Macaca fascicularis: one gene and its partners. The protein of the gene in region 2 binds, or shares a complex with, the protein of the main gene of each other region. Links are inferred from orthologs where the notes say so. Each region holds a gene or a part of one and is shown on either strand. Other genes may lie near its edges. The genes, in order: TMEM107, TMEM67 and AHI1.

Region 1 (7,126 bases), on a different chromosome or scaffold from region 2:
AAAAAAGAGGGGGTGGTCAACGTACCATATGCTGAAGAGAGGTCAAACTCAAACTCAAGTCTGAAAAGTGACTCTGGATTTGGGAAGCAGAAGTCATTGGCGATGATCAGTTTCTTGGGGGTGTACTGGTAGATTTTTAACAACCAACTCTCCAAAAACAAATGTATCCATGTATATACATAAGTGTATGATAAATTGTACTGGTATAAAGTATGGATAGCACAAAATTTACAAATAAAAAGGCCAGACGTGGTGGCTCACGCCTGTAATTCCAGCACTTTGGGAGGCTGATCACCTGAGGGCGATCATCAGGGCAGATCACCTGAGGTCAGGAGTTCAAGACCAGGCTGGCCCACATGGTGAAACCCAGTCTCTACTAAAAATACAAAAAATAGCCGGGCATCGTGGCACCTGCCTATAATCCCAGCTACTTGGGAGGCTGAGGCAGGATAATCTCCTGAACCTGGGAGGCAGAGGTTACAGTGAGCCGAGATCAGTGCAGTGCACTCCAGCCCTGGCGACAGACCAAGACCCTGCCTCAAAAACAAAACAAAACAAAACAAAACAAAAAAAAAACCCGTTCCTATTGAATGAGTATCATCCATCCTGTGCACTAGATTACAGATTTTTACTGATGTGCAGTGTTTCCTGAGAAGAGGTGAAGCGTCAAAGTATCAAACGACAAAGAACAACGGGAGTCCATTTGCACAATCCTACCTCCTAAGTCCCAGTAAGCAACAAATACAACTCACAATTTTCAAAACCAGATAAAATTTGGCGAGATCACAAAATAGCGAAATACAGAAACTATTCCCTGCACCGCATGATAACTACATTAACTAAACTTACAATCAACATAACAGAAACGTAAGTGATCGTCAGGAAGAATCAGATAGGAGCAATCAGGGTGTTGCAAGTCCTGATTACGCAGAGACGTTAATCACGTTTCATGCATTCTCCAATCATCATGTTCTCATCTGCCCTCCAAAAGAGGAACAGGTAAGGATTATCCCACCTGACGATATTTCTAAAGAGCCGACATTCCGCACTCAGTCAAAAAGATTCCGTTTACAGCTAGGGTGAGTTCACGACGCGTTGGTATGAGTAACCCTACTACTTAGCATCCTTCCAGTTGTATTGCCATATTTGCTTGCACATTTTTAAAAGAATTTTTTCATTCGGCTGCCGAAAAGGAATACATTTCTTTTTCCCAGAATGCTCCGATCATTTACGTGCTGGACGTTCTAACTGTAAGCACTTTCTATTTACATATCTCCGCCCACTCCCTTCCGCCAGACAACTACCGTAATAACCAAAATAGAAGCGATACCAAGTATCTTACGGTCTGCAGAACTAGAAAATAACGTTGCTTCTTTTTTTTTCTTCAGTAGTTTCGCCATCTCAATTGTGCCTTGAAAACTGTATATGTCTTAATCTTACTACAAAACATATTTTATTACAAACCACTAAATACAATGCGGATAATCCCAGACTCAAGACGTAATTATTCCAACACATATCCTCCAGCAGAAGCAGTTTCCGAGGGGAGGACCGAAGCCTATGCCTTCCTTCTTCCAGGAATACGAAGCGGCCCTTGCCCCTGTAGCCTTCGTCCTTAGGTTCCCGTCATGAAGGTGCTCAGAAAGGTTTCTTTTTCAGCCCAAAGACGGTGACGAATAAAGTCATTTCAGTGACAGCTGGAAGGGCACTACCGAGGCAAGTGGTAAATTCAGAAACCCTTTCAATATAAATACCCAAATCTCCAAACCAGAGACCCCACCCCTGAAAGTGTAGGACAGGTGGCATGGGGTAGGGAATGAAAATTCAAAAGACTACAGGATGTTAAGTGGATCTGGTATCTCACACATAGAGGAAAGGGCTGGGTGGGGGAAAAACCCTCAGGTTTAGGGTCAGCCTTCCTCCCTCATTCCCGAATATTGGATGCTACCACACCTGCAGAAGACAAAAATGTACCAATACGTAGTGCACTCCCAACGCTCGAATATGAAGAAGGACAGGGCCACGGATGCACTACAGTGAGCCCCAATGGCTTGGGAAGGCACCAGAGTTAAGGAAAGTCTTTGGATCGACAGATAGTGAGGGGTCAGAAAAGGCCAAAGGCCAGTGGTGGGGTTGGCATCTGCATTCAGGTTCATCGTTTGCTCCCTCACCATATTGCAAGGGCTAGAGTCAGCATCCCCGACTTCTGAATTTTAGGACAGTCATGTGAGGAGAGACCAGAAGTGACTGCGCAGATGGGATCTCAGGCTACCCTACTCCATATCTAGGGGCCAGCCTGGATCCTTCAGATGAGAGGTAAGAGTAGGCTCTCCTGCTATGCCACACAGGAGTGCTGACAGCGACTTGATATGCGCTGGAATCAGCCTCCAGTGTCCTGGTCCTCCTGGTCCACAATTCTCTGACCCATGTGCCTGGCTTCCGTTGCCTCTTCTGAGTTCCCAATGTGCTTTATATCTTTCGTTTTTTGCCAGAGTCTTGCTCTGTCGCCCAGGCTGGAGTGCAGTGGCACGATCTCAGCTCACTGCAACCTCTGCCTCCTGGGTTCAAGCAATTCTCCTTCCTCAGCCTCCTGAGTAGCTGGGATTACAGGAGTGCACCGCCACGCCCGACTAATTTCTGTATTTTTAGTACAGACAGGGTTTCACTATGTTGGTCAGGCTGGTCTTGAACTCCTGACCTCAGGTGATCCACCTGCCTCGGTCTCCCAAAGTGCTGGCATTACAGGCATGAGCCATCGCACCCTGCCTGTGCTATCTTTACACACTCCCATAGCACACTGCTTATCACACTGAATTACAGATGTGTATCTACCTCCTCCTCATGGTTAAAAAAAAAAAAAGTGGAGTTTTTATTATTACTATTTATTTTGTAGACACGGGGTCTAACTATGTTGCCTCCTGCGCGGGCCTCCCACAGTGCTGGGATTACAGACGTGAGCCAACGTGCCTGGCCAAAAACTGTATTTTACTCTCATTTCGGAATTTTAAGTGCCTAGTAAACAGCAGGATTTAGCACATGGTTGAAGATCTTTGAACTGGAGAGACTGGCTACAGCAGACACTATTGTGTCAGGTGGCTGAAGGGAGTCCTGATAGAAATGGGTCGTGTGGGAAAGGTGGGCAGGCAGAAAGGATACAGATGAGGCTCTGGGTGCTGTTGAACATGGAGACTCCTGAGAGGAAACCGGCCAGCTCCACTGCAAAGAGGCCCAGGGTGACAGAAAGCGCGGCCACCAGCCTGCAGAGAGGAAGTGGACTGGCTCAGGCCTTTGGACTTCTTCTAAGACCCCTCCACTCCCACCACCTCTTCGTTCTGGCCACCCCGTCCTAAGAGCTCACTGAATGTCCTGCTTGTCATACTCCTCGGGGGTGAACCTGAGAGGCAGGCAGGCCTGAATGTTGCTGTCCTGGGAGCAGGGCAGAGAGGAAGAGAAGTGAAAAAGGGGCAGGCTGCTGGGCAGGCCTAGGGACGGCGGAACACGAGAAAACCCAAGTGGGTAAGACACTGGGAGAGGGGCAGGGTGGGGCGGGGACGACTCCGAGATGGGAATGGGGGCGGACGGAGGGCAGCCGTGGGTCTTACCCGGGACCAGAATAAGGTGATGACGACCACCAGATGCGCCAGGATCGTCAGGAAGCGAGAGGGCACAAGCCCTGAGACCCGGCCCATGGCCCTTGGGAACAAGAGCGGCGGTCTCTGAGGCTGGAAGTTCAGAGACTGCGACTCCCGCAAGTCCACCAGCAAGCGGACAAATCTAGACGAACTCCTCCTTTCCGCCAGCTCAGGCACCGCCCAGTTGCCTTGGTAACCGCGTACGCGGGCGTGCTGCCGCGTTCTCGGAAAACCTCGCGAGAGCAGTACATTCTCCATCTGCTGTGGGTCTTTCAGGGCTAACTCAGGTCAGGGGTACCCGAAGGAGCTTCTAACCCAATGGCTGGGTACCCGTGCGCAGCCAGGCCCTTTGTTTCTCAGAGGGTGAGGGGTGGCACAGCCGCGCAGCGCCCGATCTGCCCACGCAGGGCCGACGAACGGAAACCCACCCTGGCCTAGCCTGGGGACACCTCTGCTTCCGCGGTTGCCCACGCCGGGAGCGGCCCCCAGCCCCAGCTACGCTGCCCAGTTGTGGATCACTTGAGATCACTCCCACCGCCACGCCGGGCTGAGGTCCCCGCCATGCCGAAGACTCACACCCGCTCCCCTTCCTCCTCTCCTCATGCCTTTAACTTCCCACCAAGCTGGGCCTGAGAAACAAGGGACCCGAACGTGGAGAGGCCGGTGTTCCTGGACTGCTCGGCAGTTACAGATTGTCACAGAGCCCCTGGTTGTCTGAGGACCCTAGGCCTGAACCTTCCTTGAGGAAGACTGATTTCTCTCAGACTACTTTGCTCAGTTTGGTGAAGGATTTGCAGAGTGCAAAAAGTGGTCCGCGTCCTTAAACTAGCGTGGGAATAAGAGCAAAGCAAGGTGGCTGGAAAGGTGGGAGTGGACGAAGGGAATGGTACAGTCCCTGCGTCTCTGGGAGGCTTGGAGCCTACGGGAAGGGAAACTCAACTTAGATTTCTTTATCTCTTGGAGGTGCTGGACCTCCGACATTGCCCAGCTACAGTCCAGGAAGCTCTTATCACCGGCGACGTCATGACCTTTGGGCCTCAGCGCAGGTCCCTGCAGATCTGAAAGTTCTTCTCTAATTGCTCAGTCAAGTCCCATCCTCAAGGAAACTCCCGGCCCATTTCCCAGGAGAACAATATCTTCCTACTTCCCACTCGACGTCTCAGTGCCTTTAGCCAGACTAAAGTACAAGCCCAAGAGGCATTTCTCATTCCTTCAACAAATATTTTTATATATTTATTTATTACCTAGTAATAGTATTCTAGTCAGGGAGATCAACAACAGACATGCAAACAAATAAATCCGTAAGATAATAGGTGCTACAAACAGGGATACGCGGGCCAGGCACAGTGGCTCACGCCTGTAATCCCAGCGCTTTGGGAGGCCCAGGAGGGCGGATCATCTGAGGTCAGGAGTTCGAGACAAGCCTGACCAACATGCTGAAACCCCATCTCCACTAAAAATACAAAATTAGCCGGATGTGGTGGCGCGTGCCTGTAATCCCAGCTACTCGATTACTACTACTCGATTAGCTACTAAGGCAGTGGAATCGCTTGAACCCGGGAGGTGGAGGTTGCAGTGAGCCGTGCCATTGCACTCCAGCCTCTGCAACAAGAGCACAACTCCGTCTCAAAAAAAAAAAAAAAAAAAAAAAAGGAAACGCTAGAATTATAATTCTATAAAAGTAGGGCATTTATAATTCTATAAAAATAGGGCATTTATTCTTAAACTTTATTTTAGAAACTTTGGCCAGAAATTGACCGGGAGTGGTGGTTCGCGCATATAATCCCCGCACTTTGGGAGACCGAGGCAGGGAGATCACCTGAGGGCAGGAGTTTCAGACCAGCCTGGCCAACATGGTGAAACCCCATCTCTACTGAAAAAAAAAAAAAAGCCGGGTATGGTGGCGCGCGCCTGTAATCCCAGCTATTCAGGAGGCTGAGGGAAGGAGAATTGCTTGAACTCGGGAGGCGGAGGTTGCAGTGAGCCAAGATCGTGCCACTGCACTCCCGCCTGGGAAACAGAGCAAGACTTAGTCTCAAAAAAAAAAAAAAGGAAGAAAAAGAAAATGCACTCTGGGACCAGAAGCGAAAGCTCATGCCTGTAATCCCAGCACTTTAGGAGGCCAAGGCGGAAGTATTCCTTGAACCCAAGAGTTTGAAGCCAGTCTGAGCAACATAGTGAGACACCTCTCTCTAATAAAACAATAATAAAGGCCTGGAGTGGTGGCTCACGCCTGTAATCCCAGCACTTTGGGAGGCAGAGGCGGGCAGGTCACCTGAGGTCAGGAGTTTGAGACCAGCGTGACCAACATGGTGAAACCCCGTCTCTATTAAAAATACAAAAAAAAAAAAATTAGCTGGGCGTGGTGGCATGTGTCTGTATTCCCAGCTACTCGGGAGACTGAGGCAGGAGAATCATCTGAACCCAGGAGGCGGATGTTACAATGAGCTGAGATCTTGCCACTGCACTCCAACCTGGACGACAGAGCGAGACTACATCTCAAAAAATATATATATGTATTTATATATATATTTATACATATTTATATATTTTAATATATTTAGATATATATTTATAGATATATAGACACACACACACACATATACATTCAGATATATATATATTTTTTTTTTTTTTTTTTTTTGAGACGGAGTCTCGCTCTGCCGCCCAGGCTGGAGTGCAGTGGCCCGATCTCAGCTCACTGCAAGCTCCGCCTCCCGGGTTTATGCCATTCTCCTGCCTCAGCCTCCTGTGTAGCTGGGACTACAGGCGCCCGCCACCTCGCCCGGCTAGTTTTTTGTATTTTTTAGTAGAGACAGGGTTTCACCGTGTTAGCCAGGATGGTATCGATCTCCTGACCTCGTGATCCGCCCGTCTCGGCCTCCCAAAGTGCTGGGATTACAGGCTTGAGCCGCCGCGCCCGGCCTCAGATATATCTTTTTAATGAAGTTTTAGGCTGGGCGCAGTGACTCAGGCCTGTAATCCCAGCACTTTGGGAAGCCGAAGCGGGTGGATCACCTGAGGTCAGGAGTTCAAGACCAGCCTAGCCAACATGGAGAAACCCCATCTCTGCTAAAAATACAAAACTTAGCTGGGCGTCATGGCACACACCTGTAGTCCCAGCTATTTGGGAGGCTGAGGCAAGAGAATCTCTTAAACCCACGAGGTGTAGGTTGCAGTGAGCTGAGATCGCACCACTGTACTCCACCCTGGGTGACAGAGTGAGATTCTGTCTTTAAAAAAAAAAAGTTTTAAACAATAAACATTAATATTTTCTGAGTCTTATATAGTATTATTAAGACATGAAATTGAGGAAAAAAAGGAATGATTTATAGGATTGAGAGTCCCTAAAGTGTTGAACTCCTATATATTGAAACTATGTGATGACATTTTCATATAAATCATCTCTTTAAAAGACAGCACAGCCTTTTCTTCATATTGGAGACAATGTAATCACCAAAACTTGCTTTTATTCCCATAAAATAAAAGATTGT
Region 2 (7,484 bases):
ATGGGCTGCTAGACTGAGTATATTTATGGTTATTCCTTGATCATATGCTAAACAAGGGATGGATTATTCATGAGTTTTCCAGGAAAAAGGTGGAGAGTTCCTGGAACAGAGTGTCCTCCCTTGTTAGACCATATAGGGTAACTTCTCTAAGTGGGCATGGCATGGGCAAACTGTCATGGTGCTGGTGGGAGTGTCTTTTAGCATGCTAATACATTATAATTAGCATATAATGAACAGTGAGGATGACCAGAGGTCGCTTTGGTCACCATCTTGGTTTTAGCAGGTTTCAGTCCTCTTCTTTACCTATCCTGTTTTATCAGCCAGGTCTTTATGACCTTATCCTGTGAAATCGGTCCTGCCAACCTCCTATCTCAAACTAACACAGGAAAGAAAATAAAATACTGTGTGTTCTCACTTATAAGTTGGAGCTAAACATTGGGTACAGATGGACACAAAGAAGGGAACAATAGATACTGGGTGCTACTCGAGGATGCAGGGTGAAAGGAGAGTACAGATCAAAAAACTACCTATTGGGTACTATGCTTATCACATGGGTAAGGAAATAATCTGTACCCCAAGCCCCCGAGACACTCAATTTACCTGTATAACAAACCTGCACATGTACTTCTGAACCTAAATTAAAGTTTAAAACAACAACAACAACAAACTGAAGAAAAGTATGGGCTCTGGTGTCAAATTAACAGGGTTAGAACCATGAATTAAGTGTGACCTTAGAGAGTCACTTATACTTTCAAAGCCTTGGTTATTTCATGTAAATTAAAGGTGATGATAACAGTCCCAATTTAGGATCAAATGAGATATTGCAATACCGGACACATTAAAAGTGTCTCCATGGGACTAGCCCAAACTGGGCCTACCCTGTTGATAACAAAATATCGTGTTACCTTTTAGATATAACAGAGCCAAAAACTGCAAGTCATGTAGCCCAGGCGTGTACAATAGAAAAAGCTTGGACCTCTAACAACACCCAAAACCAATGAATCCTTTCCTTGGAACCAAGAAGACCAGGACGTGACTGGAACCTGAACTTGGAACTCTTTCAAAAGTGATGGGTCCATTTGACTGGAGGATCGGGCCTAAAATCGGCCTCTACATACCTTTTTCTAAATGGTCAAATTTAAATCCTCCAATCAGCCTGCCAGGACACATTCATAAATCCTTTCCCTTGGCTTTCCAAGCCCATGAGTTTACCCCAGACGCCAAATCAGGGAGACAGATTTGAATGCACTCCTATATCCTTGCTGAATAGTTGTGCAAATAAAGCCTTTTTTTCCTCAAAAGCTTGTGCCACATAGTATTAGCTTCTGTGCGCACATTGGATACAGAGCTCATTTGCTTGATAACAAAAACAAGCTATTAATACCTATTATTTCTATTATTATTCACCCCCAGCGCCCCACCATGTTAAATATTCCTATAACTTTCATTTCTACCTTAAAATTTTATTTATCCAATAAGTTTTCGCTTAGAAGCTATCTGCCACAGGTATCTTCCTTTAATATCACAACCATCTACCCAGCCACCCAAATCAGAAACCTGTAAGTTATCCTTGATTCTGTTTCTTTACTTCCTATGTCCAAATCATAAAATTCTCATAATTCTTCTTCCTGAATAGCTCCTTTATTCATCCTCTCCTGCCTCTCCTTTCCTCCATGGCTCCAATTTAGACTCTAGATTTCTACCTTAGCCTCGCAAGTGGTCTCTAACTCTAAAAGTTTCCATATATTTGTCCAAGTTTGTTTTTTTTTTTTTTTTTTTTTTTTTTTTTTTTTTTTTTTTTGATACAGGGTCTCTGACATCCAGGCTGGAGTGCAGTGGCATGATCACAGCTTATTGCAGCCTTTGGGCTCATTGACCTCCTGGGCTGAAATGGTTCTCCCGCCTCAGCCTTCCAAGTAGCCGGGACCATAGGCATGTGCCACCCACCCAGCTAATTAAAATAAATTTTATTCGTAGAGATGGAGTCCCACTATGTTGCCCAGGCTGGTCTTGAATTCCTGGGCTCAGACAATCCTTCTGCGGTGGCCTCCCAAAATGTTAGGGTTAGAGGCGTGAGCCACAGCACCAGGCTTAGATTCTTTTATTCACAAGAGGTGTAAAGGTGATCTCATTTTATATACATGTCAACTAAAGAAAAAAATAAGGCTTTTAAAGACTCAAAGTTAGTTTTATTTGGAGTCTTACTGAGGAATGCAACACTGGGGAGTCGTTCAAAGAGTTTATGTTATACTGCTCCAAAGCAGCGGTTCTGCCCACAGTTTCTATTATCAAGGGATGGAGCTCTGCATGTGCTCAAAAGTTACACTAAACATGCTCAGAAGTTACACTGGAGCAAAATCTCATCAAAGTTTTGGTTGGAGAGTACATCTGATTATAGGTTACAGAGGCATAATCTTTAATCCTGTCAGACGTTATCTTACGTACAGAAAGAGGCAAGAGCTAGGATCACTGAACGTGTTTTTTTAGAAAATGAAGTGATTCAAGCAACAGTTGTGGAAACCTGTGCTCTATCCTCTTACTGTCTTCAGGGCATTCTTCTGGAGGACTGTGTTCAGTCACTGAATCAGGGGCTTTGTGAAATTCCGCTGGCAACAGAATGAGCAAACATGGTTTCTTCCGTTTCCTACTTTGTCTCACATACATGATTTCCTATGCTCAGACCTGGCAGGAAAAATTTTTTATTTTTCAGTGCTTAAGCTATAGTAATCCTTCACTAGGTTTTAAGTCAGTGGGTTTTTTTGACATCAAATTGTTAAACTACAAGTCACGTTTCCTTTAACGTGAAAATTACCTAGTCTGAATAAATTCTGATGTAAATATAACTCGACAAATTATGATATTTTCAACTTACGATGGGTTTATTGAGGGGAGGAGGCAGCCCTATCGTAAGTAGAGGAACTCTATACACTTTTGAAAATACCGCTGGGCTTCAGGGTTAGCCGGCCTCTAACCTACTCTTTACTGGACCTGCCAACTTCGCGCAGGGTTGGTAACCTAGCAACCAAGCAACACCAGCAGTGACTTCCGGTACCCAGACTTGGGTTGTCCAATCAGCTCAGCGGAGCTGCCGCAGAGGCTGATGGGGGACTGACGCCTGTGAGGCTGCCAGCGTCGGTACCATGGCGACGCGCGGTGGGGGCTGAGGTGGCAATGGCGGCTTGGTACCTCTTATCTGCCCGGGCCGTGACCGTGTTCCTCCTGTTGTCCCTCCCTCGCTTCTTACAGGCCCAGACCTTCTCTTTCCCTTTCCAGCAGCCAGAGAAGTGCGACAACAACCAGTACTTTGATATCTCCGCGCTCTCCTGTGTTCCGTGTGGAGTTAACCAGAGGCAGGATGCCCGAGGTAAGACGGTTTGAGGTGGGCCCTGGCAAAAGTAACACTCCCGCCTTGGTCGATCCCTAGTCCCTGGAGATGGAGTTTCATCATGTTGATCAGGCTAGTCTCGAACTTCTGACCTCAGGTGATCCACCCGCCTCCGCCTCCCAAAGTGCTGGGATTACAGGCGTGAGCCACCGCGCCTGGCCCGAATACATATATATTGTTTAGTGACGTAGAAATGTAAAATTTCCAGCAGCAGTTAAGTAGTTTAATAGTTTAGTTATACTTGCGCTTAAAATGGTAGCAACACAATACCAGCTGTGTGTGACAGTCTAAGACCTTTATGTATAATAACTGATTTTATACTCATACTAATACTATGAGGTAGGTACCGATTTTTTTTCTCCTTTTTATTGTAGAGGAAGCCAAGGCAGAGAGTTTAGTAACTTGTTCAAGGTCATGCAACCGAGTAGGAGTACTAAGATTGGAACTCAAGAAGTATGTTTCTGGATTTGAACCCGGCAGTACTGGCTCCAGAATCCTGCTGTTAATCACTATACTGCTTCTCAAGATCTTCAGACTTATTAAAAGTTTCACTATCTTGGAACTTTATTTTTATTTATCAAGGATAAAGTTGGCTTTTTTTTTTTTTTTTTTTTAGGAACTTCATGTGTATGTCTACCAGGATTTCAGATGATCTCTAATAATGGAGGACCTGCTGTTATTTGTAAAAAGTGCCCAGAAAACATGGTATGCATAATTTATTTTAAAATAACTTAACTGTAAAAGTAATAAGTTAAATATCTTTATTTTTCAAACTATAATGTAATGTTTAATGTTTCCCCACAAACTTTAAAATTACTATGCTAACTTTATTTTTACTAGAGTAAGTTTTGGGAAATCAGCGAAATTTTATGCAAACTTGGAGAAAACAGAAATGTATTTCTTTTAAAATCTGAAATCCCAAAAACCACAAAGCTGTAAAAATTTAAGTTTTTGTTTTTACTCATAGAATAACTCGATTATGAAGAAAATTAGATGAATAAGGAATATATAGAGCAGTTTGGGATGTGTGCAATTTGGGATGTGTATATTCTTTGACTGATGCAAATGGAGTTGTCTTAAACCTATCATGTCAACAGTTTATATGATGATTGATGTTCATAATGATATCTGAGGTGTAATTATTTCATGAAATACCAATTGCATTAATAAATAGGTTAAATAATGTCTGTTTCTGTTTTGTTAGTAATTTCATTATATCGTAATTTTTGAAAAATTAGTAGTTACTGTATATGATAATTCTCAATTAACAAATATATTTTTCAATCATGTTGGATAATTAAAAGTCTGTGTAACAGTCTGACATTTACAGTAATGTTTCTTCTCGTTGTCATATAAAAAATATTAATTCTGGGAATTTAATCTGAAGTTATCAATTGTCCTGATTTACAGCTATCTGTATTACTTGTAGGTGTGATTACCATTTTTTATATTACCATTTATTTTACATCTTTATAATAGATTACCATTTATTTTATATCTTTGCAGATGTTGATCCTACCTGAATTACCCATGATAAAATGCTGCTAAGCATTTTGTTTTTCAGTGACATTTTTTAAGTTATTGTAATCTTTAAATTGTCCTATATAGGCCGGGCATGGTGGCTCATGCCTGTAATCCCCGCAATTTGGGAGGCTGAGGCTGGTGGATCATGAGCTCGGGAGACCAGCCTGGCCAATATGGTGAAACCCTATCTCTACTAAAAATACAAAAATAAGCTGGGCATGGTGGCGTGTACCTGTAGTCCCAGCTGCTTGGGAGGCTGAGACAGGAGAATCACTTGAACCCAGGAGGCGGAGGTTACAGTGAGCCAAGATCGCACCATTGCACTCCAGCCTGGGTGACAAAGTGAGACTCTGTCTCAAAAAATAAATAAATAAATAAATAAATAAATAGTCCTATATAAATGTATTGCAAAATAGGAGTATTTCTTGATAAATTCAGTCTTTTCAACCAAAATTTAAAATAATTTGTGGCATTATTTTTGTTCTTTATGAACTTTGGGTACAACTGTGTTTGTAATTATTGTGTTTGTTGCCCCAGGCTTTTCCTAAACCATATAATATAATAAGCCCAATTTTGAATGCTGTCATACTTTATCAAAAACCTTTACCAGGCTGAGTGCAGTGGCTCATGCCTGTAATCCCAGCACTTTGAGAGGCCGAGGCAGGCGAATCACGAGGTCAGGAGATCAAGACCATCCTGGCAAACGTGGTGAAACCCCATGTCTACTAAAAATACAAAAATTAGCTGGACATGGTGGCATGTGCCTGTAGTCCCAGCTACTCGGGAGACTGAGGCAGGAGAATCCCTTGAACCCGGGAGGTGGAGCTTGCAGTGAGCCGAGATCGTGCCACTGCACTCCAGCCTGGTGACAGAGCGAAGACTGTCTCAAAAAAAAAAAAAAAGTGTACTAGTACAAGCCATAAATGGATAGAAGAAAATATTCTCATAAATCAATTTCAACAACTGTGTATAATTTATATTTCATAAAATTTACCCATTTTGAATCATAAATGAATTTTTTTTTTTTTTTTTGAGACAGAGTATTACTGTTGCCCAGGCTAGAGTACAGTGGCGTGATCTCAGCTCACTGCAACCTCCACCTTTCTGGTTCAAGCCATTCTGGTGCCTCAGCCTCCCAAGTAGGATTATAGGCATACACCACCACACCCAGCTAATTTTTGTATTTTTAGTAGAGACGAGGTTTCACCACGTTGGCCAGGCTAGCCTCAAACTTTTGGCCTCAAGTGATCCAACCACCTTGACTTCCCAAAGTGCTGAAATTACAGATGTGAGCCACCGTGCGTGGACTAAATTTTTTATGTATTTGAATTTTTTAAAATTAGAATAATGTTTTAGAATAGGTGAGATTAACCTATTAACTGACTATTGATTCAATCTTTTTGTGTTGTGTTGTGTTTTATATTTGTAAACAGAAAAAGTAAATGACAAATAATTATGAAAGTAGGCATCCATTTGAATTAAAGATCCTGAAGAAGAGAGAACTATTATCCACAGTTAATCCTTTAATAGTTGTCAGGACATAGTAATAATATAGAGCTTAATTTTGGAATATAAGCATGAATTATCTCTCCAGGGAATTTTTATGTGGCTCATATATGTATGATTTATTTGAATATTCACTGCAGTTACATACTCTTATGGCATTTTGAACTTACATGATTATGAAGAAGAAAGTTAATTAAAAAAGAGAAAAGCTTTTTTTTTTCTTTTAATTTAGAAAGGTGTTACAGAAGATGGCTGGAACTGCATTTCTTGCCCTAGTGGCTTAACTGCCGAAGGAAAATGCCACTGTCCCGCTGGCCATATTTTAGGTAAGAATTAGATTCCTTACAAAGAAGTAGTGATAAATCTTCATTTGTGTTTTTGTTTTTTGTTTTTTGAAAAGGGCATTAATTTAAATAGTTAAATGATTACTTAATATTTTTGTAGTGGTTCAAGCAATCCTCCTACCTCAGCTTCCTGAGTAGCTAGGACTGCACACATACACCACTGCAGCTGGCTAATTTTTAAATTTTTTGTAGAGACTGGGTCTTGTTATGTTGCCTAGCCTGGTCTTGAACTCCTGGCCTCGAGAGATCTTCCTGCCTCACCTCCTAAAGTGCTGGGATTATAGGCATCAGTCACTGTGTCCAGCCCTTAATAGTGTTTATAAAAATTATTTTTGTACAAATTTAGTGATACTTAAGACATCAGCAGGCATTGAGAAGAAAATACAGAGTTTTGTCTGAGTTTTTTGAAACTCTTAATTGTGTAGGATTAGATGGTTACTTCTTTAACATAACATGATAAAATATGTATGTCTCAACTCAAAAACCAAGTTGATGCTTAATAGGCAAAAAGTGTAAGCATTCCTATTAATGTCAGGACCTGGAAAAGGGTGCAAACTGTGCACTTAAGTAAGAGAAAAAAAATATTTATCACTGGAAAAGAAAAGGTAGGCCGTTAATCCCAACATTTTGGAAGGCCAAGGCAGGTGTATTGTTTGAGCTTAAGAGTTCGAGACCAGTCTGGGCAACACAGTGAAACCCCATCTCTACAAATAAAAAAGAAATTA
Region 3 (7,250 bases), on a different chromosome or scaffold from region 2:
AACACTTAGAACGTAATATGCATGTTATTGAGACTAAAACTGAAGAGTGTTTAAAAAAAAAAAAAAGAAGAAAAGCTGGTTCAGGGATTATTGGTCTGTTTGCTTCTGAGATGGAGTCTCCCTTTGTCGAGTGCAGTGGCATGATCTCGGCTCACTGCAACCTCCCAGGTTCAAGCGATTCTCCCGCCTCAGCCTCCCAAGTAGCTGGGATTACAGGTGTGTGCCACCACACCCAACTAATTTTTGTATTTTTAGTAGAGACAGGGTTTCACCATGTTGGCCAGGCTGGTCTTGAACTTCTGACCTCATGTGATCTGCCCACCTCGGCCTGCCAAAGTGTTGGGATTACAGGTGTGAGCCACCACACTGGGCCCAAGGTATTATTGGTTAATGCTCCAATTCCCTGGAGATCCACATTCATGTTCCTCTTGCAGAAATGTCTAAGAAATTCTAAAAAGAAAGGAATGATTATGTAAACATACCTAACTACGTCAGTTAATTTAGGGAACGACCATGTGGTACCCAAACAAAACAGACATCACTAAATCCATGGAGTAAAAACTCCTATACTTTAGTGATAGGAGCCTGTATTTACTCCTTCTAGCAGTTATGAACCTAATAACTCACCTTCTACTTTCTAGTCTATATCAAATTAGAAAGAGAAGCTGCAAAGGCAAGCACAATGACAGCATCCCTGAGAGCATGTAAGTAGAAAAATCATAAAACAAACAAAAATTTAATATTTATACTACTTGACGGTCATCTAATAGGCAGGGAAAAAGCTGAACAATATTATGACTATGATTCATCAAAAAAAAAGCCTGCTGGGCATGGTGATTCATGCCTGTAATCCCAATACTTTGGGAGGATGAGGCAGGCAGATCACTTGAGATCAGGAGTTTGAGTCCTGTCTGGCCAACATGGTAAAACCCCATCTCTACTAAAAATACAAAAACTAGTTAGGTGTGGAGCTACTGGGGAGGCTGAGGCAGGAGAACCGCTTGAACCTGGGATGTGGAGGTTGCAGTGAGCCGAGACTGCACCAGTGTGCTCCAGCCTGGGTGATGGGAGTCAGATAATATTTTGGAAAGATTAAATAACTAATGAAGAGGCAGGAGAAAGAATCGGAGGTGATTCCCATGTTTCTAGAACTAGAATAGTAGGTTAGTAGTACCATTAAACTGTAATATAATGCAGTACAGGAGAGTAGTTTAAAATCCATGTCCTAGAATTAGTTTCCATAGTCACTTGTGTGACTTTTGCTTCCTCATCTGTAAAAACACTCTACCAGTGCCGACTCAAAGGGTTGTTGTAAGGGTTAAATGATTTACAACAGTATCTCAGACAGAAGCAGCAACAATAAATGTTAGCTATAATTATAACAGGTACTTGCTAGGGTGCAGTCACTAAGCTTAGTGTGGGTCATGTTGAGTTGGGTATCTGAAGGGCACTGAGCAGCTACAAGCATCAGCTTCCATTGTCAGATCCTTGGATCCAAATACCAGTTCTACCTGCCAGCAGATTCATCTCTAGGGACATCAGTTTCCTAATCTTTCACAATAATAAATCACTCAGTGTTTTTACAAAGATTAAATGAGAACATGCAAGTAAAATACTTGGCACAATGCCTAGCACATGGCAAACCCTTCAAAAAGAACAATTGTTATTACTGTCACATGTGTGTGTCTGTGTTTATGTATATAATCATATTATGTTTATTAGGCAATCTATTAATCCAGCAGGGAGACCCTAGGCTGAAGATTTGGGAGTTATTTATAAATATGATAGTTGCAAGAAAATAAAAAGCCAATGAGAATCCTGAGAGCCCACAATATAAAGTAAAATCAGGGAGACAGGTAAAAAACTGGGAGACAGAAGCATTACAGAAGGAAAGAGTTTTAAAGGAGATGTAGCCTATATACTGTGTGGCATCAAAAGGGGCTGGAGGTTTTGAAGAAAGTCCACTGAATCTGCAAGAAGGAAGTCACGTGTGTCAAAGCTGTTTATGGAGGGGCAGAAACCTAGCAGGCTGGGGCTGAGGGGTGAATGGAAGGTGACCCCTGTAGAAGGGACATGTAGACAATTCTTTACAGAATTCTTCCAACTGTCTTTCCACCACCCCTAAAGGCAGTGACATGAGACAGTAACTCTGGGACAAAAACACTGTGGAAGGATTATGCTGTTTGTTTTAAGATTGTTTCCATGCCACTATCACCTTACCCTTTTAAAAAATAAATCATCATCTATACAGCAATCAGTGTAATTTTCTAAAATTCAAATGTGACGGTGTCATTTCTTTGCTTAAAATTCTTCCCTAGCTCCCAATCACACACTGAAAAAAATATCAAGTCCTTACCATTGAGGTCCAAGGCCATTTATGAAATGTCCCCTTCACACCATACGCTGTGTTCCAGCCATGTGAAACTACCTCCAGGCCTTCACATGTGCCACGTCCTCTCTTGCTTTTGTATCATTACACATATATCCCCTCTCCTGAAAAATGTCCTTCCTCCTTTGTCACTCTAACAAACTCCTCATTATCCTTTGAAGGCAAGTATCTTCTCTAGAGAGCATTCGCACCTTGAAGGGCAGTGAAGCACTTCTCTTCTGTGCTCCCAGGATGCCTGAATCTTTGTAACTCCCTCTACCTCAGCCCTGAATTTTCATCCTGGTTAAATGTTCTGTCTCCCACCAAACTGCTAGCTTTGGAGGCCACGCCAATGCTCTCTATAGTTATGTATCTGGCACTATGAAAGAAAAGAGGAGAGAGAAGAGAAAACACGAGAAGCAAAGCAAAGCGAAGCAGTAGCAACGGTCCTAGAGTAAAAAAGACTCAGGTTTGACCTCCAGTGTCACCACTTACTGATGTGTGGCATTGGGTAAGCTACTTAATTTCTAATCCTTGGTTTTTCCTTGTCTGGGAATTTAAAATGGCACCTGTTTTAGTACTGCAAGGAGAAAATACCAAAAAGCAAAGTAATGAGTACACTGCAATAAAATTACTTTATGTCCAGTATTATTGTATTAAAAATAAGTAATTATTAATAAAATACAGAAATCATAGAATTATTTACTGTTAATAGCTTAATACACAACTGAATAAATACTAATATTATTTAATAACACAGCAAATACATTATAGAAATAATCTCTAATTTTTTTTTTTTTTGGAGACAAAGTCTTGCTCTGTTGCCCAGGTTGGAGTGCAGTGGCACAATCTCAGCTCACTGCTGCCTCCGCCTCCTGGGTTCAAGCAATTCCCCTGCCTCAACCTCCCTAGCAGCTGGGACTACAGGTGTGCGCCACCACGCCCGGCTAATTGTTGTATTTTTAGTAGAGATGGGTTTTCACCAACATTAGCCAGGCGGATACTGAACTCCTGACCTCAAGTGATCCACCCACTCTTGATCCTCCCAAAGTGCTAGGATTACAGGCCTGATCCACTGTGCCCAGCCATCTCTAAATCTTAATGTGTACTACAGCAAACATATGATAGAATTAATGACTAATATTTAATTAGTAACATTATCTGCGAAAATTCAGGTCGGACTTTAAAAGACACCTCCGAATCTTATATATTCCATTATTTTACAACTTCTCCCTCACAAACCCTTTCACAGGAGCTTCTAAGAGATACTATGTAGGAAAATTAAATGGATTACACCTCATCTCATTTTATTTTACAGACCACCTGATTATCAGCCAATATGTGACTCAATATCAATGGGAGAAAAAATTGAGAGGCTTGATAATTCCCTCTTTAACCAAATGTTATCGCAAGGGAAAAAAAGACAAACAAAAATCCTGTACACAAAATTCAATGAATAGATCAACAAGATTCTTCATAAGTACACAAGATTCTAACTTCATAAATATTATTCTTCATAAACAAGATTCTAAGTATGGTTTAATAACACTTTTGGTATTTTAATTTTTTCAAGCATTCTTTAAAAAATTTCCCAGAGTACTCATAAGAAGCAATCTTCCTCCTAACCCAAGCAATAACAGTAACTGCTAATGCAACAGGTGAAAAAACTGTTGGCATCTCTTTCTCAAAAGGGAAAAACTTTATTTTCACATTAGATGTTTTCACAGGAATGCCAAACGCAGCACAACCTTTGATAAGGATGCTTAAATGGTCTACATTTTTATTCTATTTTTATGCATCTCGAAACAACCCTATTAATATAATCTGGCTCTTATAAGTTTAACAAATTGATCACCTTTTCTCAGACGTAATTAAGTAGGCTTTGACAGGTTGAAGATTCAGCCCCAGGATGACACTCTAAAAGGAAATAAACACACTCAGTACGCATCTGATTTAAAAGCATTTAAACAAGAATCGGGAGTAGGAAAGGCAAAGATTGAATTCCCTATCAGAACACCATGCTCAACTCTCCGGAGACACCGAGACCAGTGAAAGAAGCGGAAAAGTACGTTGAGGACTCCGGGAAATCGCATTCCTCCGGGACACCCGGCCCACGCTCCCCGGTCAATCCGCGATCAGCCCCCGCGCTCTCGGACTCCAGCAGCCCCGACACGCCGCCCCGGAGAGGGCCGGGCAGGCCCAGCACCCCGGCCCGCGCTCCCGCCACCAGCGAACCCACGAGGTACTTACGGAGAGGAGGAGTAGGCAGAACCGTCCGTCCCGCCCAAGCCGACACCCGGAACAGTGCAAATCGACTCCCCCGCGCCCAGCGGCGCGGGCGCTAAGTGAGGCGGCCACGAAGCCACCTTACCCGCCAGCGACCCGGGTTCGGAGAGCAAGCCACTGCTCTGTGCCGCAGTGCGGACGACTCGCGGCCTGCTGACGTCAGCGCCTGCCTACACCGCCGTTCCCATGGCGACCGACGCGTCTCGCGCGCTAGGCCCGGACCGCGGCCCCGCCCCCGCCCCCGTCCCCGCGCCGCCACCGCCTTCGCCTCAGCCCGGGAGAAGGGGCCGCGCGGCGCCTGCACCGGGGCCCTCAGGCTGTTGGTGGGCGCGCGCTTCGGGGACCTTACCGGCCTCCAGCCTCCGAGGCCGTGCGAGCGGGAAGGGAGTCGGAAATGCGCGGGTGCTCCCACAGAGCTTGAGTCTTCCCCGCCCTCACCTCCAAAAATACTCTTTCCGCCTTAGAATTGTAGCAAGCGCAGGGAAAAACTGACGGGGCAAAGGAAAACTGGGGAGGCTGTTATGGAAGTCGCCCAAAATAAGAAAATCAATGAATGAGGCAAAGAAACAGATTTGTCACTCCCCACGCGGTCGCGCCCACAAAAGAAAACATGATTTTAAAGCGTGGAAAATGAAGTTGTACTACAGACAAAATCTTAAGAAAAAATTATGCACGATTCCTTTAGAGCTATCTCCCTGTGTGTGGAAAACAAAAGTTAAAACGCCATACTTTTCTGTACCTAATGCTCCCTCCCACTTTTCTGATTTCTGCCGCAGGCGCCATCTTCAGCTCTGAGTCACCAGGGCTGGAAAAATACTAGTTGCGCTACTCGTGGACTCATGAATACACGCCATTTCCTGTACCTACAGCCACGCGCTGTAACCTGTTGCTTCGTTTGTACAGAGAGAGAGTTTACGGAGGCCAGCTTTTCCATTCTCACTGGCATTGCCACACCTTACAAACTATATCTCTATGCCATGTGCTTCCCTAAATCCTTTGAGGAAGCAACGAGAAAGATTACTAATCCGCTGTGTACCAAACTGAGCTGTTCAACTTTGCATTCTAAACCTACTCTCCTAGATTTCTATCTTGCTGTAAGCCACCACTATCTTGCTGTAATCTTGCACTATCAAGTGTCAAACACTTGCTCCCAGTGTTTTAGTAAGAACTGTAGAGTATCCTAAATGCATCTTATACCAAAGCATATTCATTCTCTCTTTTTAAATTCCTCAGGTGGGCGCTTTACCAGTCCTGTGACTCCAGTTTTGACTCTTAAAATTCCCCACACTGCTATCAGAATGTCCTGACTAAAAATGTAAATCGGATAATGGCTCTCTCTTGCTGAAAATTCTTGAAAGGCAACGTGTAAGAGAAAATGATTGCTTTGCCTAGGATACAAGATGCTCCATCTCCCTGACTAATTTCATCTCTCGTTAGCTTATTGTTCCAATTTTATGCAATATTGAATCATGTGTATCATGCAGTTTTGTGCAACATTGAATTATGTGTACTATGAAAAACAATCCATAGCCTTGCACGCCCTGTCCTTACACATATTGTTCTCTCTTCCTGAAAATTCCTCCTTTTACACTACTGCATATCACAGTCAAATGTTGTCCATCCTTCGAATCTTAAGCAGGTTGACTGACTCCTTCAAATACTCCTACTCCTTATTAGATTTTGGATATTCATTCCGTATATTAGACTTTACATACTCATTCTATATTTTCATAGTTTACATTGTATTTTTTCTATCCCCAGTATCTACCACAGTATCTATGAAATAGTTGGCATTTCATGAACATTTGTTGAATGAATAATGGATAACATATATTGAGCTCCTTCTAGGAGCTATGCATTGTAGGTGTTTTATGTAGTTTTCATTTGTCCTCACAACTGCATTTAAGTACCCGCTTTTCCAAAGGGAAGTTATGACTCTGGCTGCTCATTCTTAGTAGGGTTTTAGTTTCAGAATACGATTCCCAGACTTGCGGATGTGTAACCCTGTTATCATCTCTTGCTTCTTAGCATGCAGAGGTGCAGTGGGGTGGGGAGGTCAGGGAATATTTTGTAGCAGAAGTGACATTTAAGCAAAAACCAAAATAATGTGTAGAGTTGTCCAGGTTAGGAAGGGTTTCCAGGTAGAAGAAGGTGGCGTATAGTGTTCACTAAAAGAAAGTTTGGTATAATACAGAACTAAAAAAAAAAAAAAAAAGTTCAAGTTGGCTAACTAAAAGGTAGAGAATGAGTCTAGGGTCTTTTGGAGGAAACAAAACAAGATAGTTAAACAGGCCGTGAAGAGACCCAGACAGTATTGGTCAATGCAATACCACTGTAGAATTTTATGGAGTGAAATTCTCAAATTTTAATATCATAAAGATAACACTGACTGCAGGGTGGAGAACAGACAGGAAGGAAGCAAATCTAGATCCGGGAATACCATTTAAGATGGCGTTGCTGTAAGCCATGTAAGAGACAAAGGTGGTATGGTCAAGGCTAAGAAAAATCAGAATGGAGAGAAATGGATCAGTTCGAGAAATTTTTAGGAGGTAAAAATGTCAGGACTTAGTGATTAATTGGATGGAAGAATGAATGA

The links.
Region 1: TMEM67 (region 2) and TMEM107 share a complex: the UniProt entries of both Homo sapiens proteins name them as parts of the tectonic-like complex. The link is inferred for Macaca fascicularis from reciprocal best matches to the Homo sapiens genes TMEM67 and TMEM107.
Region 3: TMEM67 (region 2) and AHI1 share a complex: the UniProt entries of both Homo sapiens proteins name them as parts of the tectonic-like complex. The link is inferred for Macaca fascicularis from reciprocal best matches to the Homo sapiens genes TMEM67 and AHI1.

The regions. Positions count from the first base shown.
Region 1 is NC_088390.1:8,260,403-8,267,528, forward strand, and holds TMEM107 (transmembrane protein 107), read right to left. Parts: upstream 3,815-7,126; 5' UTR 3,690-3,814; coding exon 3,603-3,689; intron 3,427-3,602; coding exon 3,359-3,426; intron 3,276-3,358; coding exon 3,157-3,275; intron 2,317-3,156; exon of another isoform or gene 2,218-2,316; intron 2,051-2,217; coding exon 1,954-2,050; intron 1,709-1,953; coding exon 1,639-1,708; 3' UTR 1,437-1,638; downstream 1-1,436. UniProt on the Homo sapiens protein: Plays a role in cilia formation and embryonic patterning. Requires for normal Sonic hedgehog (Shh) signaling in the neural tube and acts in combination with GLI2 and GLI3 to pattern ventral and intermediate neuronal cell types.
Region 2 is NC_088382.1:103,402,357-103,409,840, forward strand, and holds the start of TMEM67 (meckelin), read left to right. Parts: upstream 1-3,155; 5' UTR 3,156-3,171; coding exon 3,172-3,364; intron 3,365-4,001; coding exon 4,002-4,090; intron 4,091-6,647; coding exon 6,648-6,741; intron 6,742-7,484. UniProt on the Homo sapiens protein: Required for ciliary structure and function. Part of the tectonic-like complex which is required for tissue-specific ciliogenesis and may regulate ciliary membrane composition.
Region 3 is NC_088378.1:39,535,205-39,542,454, forward strand, and holds the start of AHI1 (jouberin), read right to left. Parts: upstream 4,802-7,250; 5' UTR 4,619-4,801; intron 4,286-4,618; 5' UTR 4,224-4,285; intron 2,748-4,223; 5' UTR 2,357-2,747; intron 695-2,356; exon of another isoform or gene 628-694; intron 451-627; exon of another isoform or gene 323-450; intron 1-322. UniProt on the Homo sapiens protein: Involved in vesicle trafficking and required for ciliogenesis, formation of primary non-motile cilium, and recruitment of RAB8A to the basal body of primary cilium.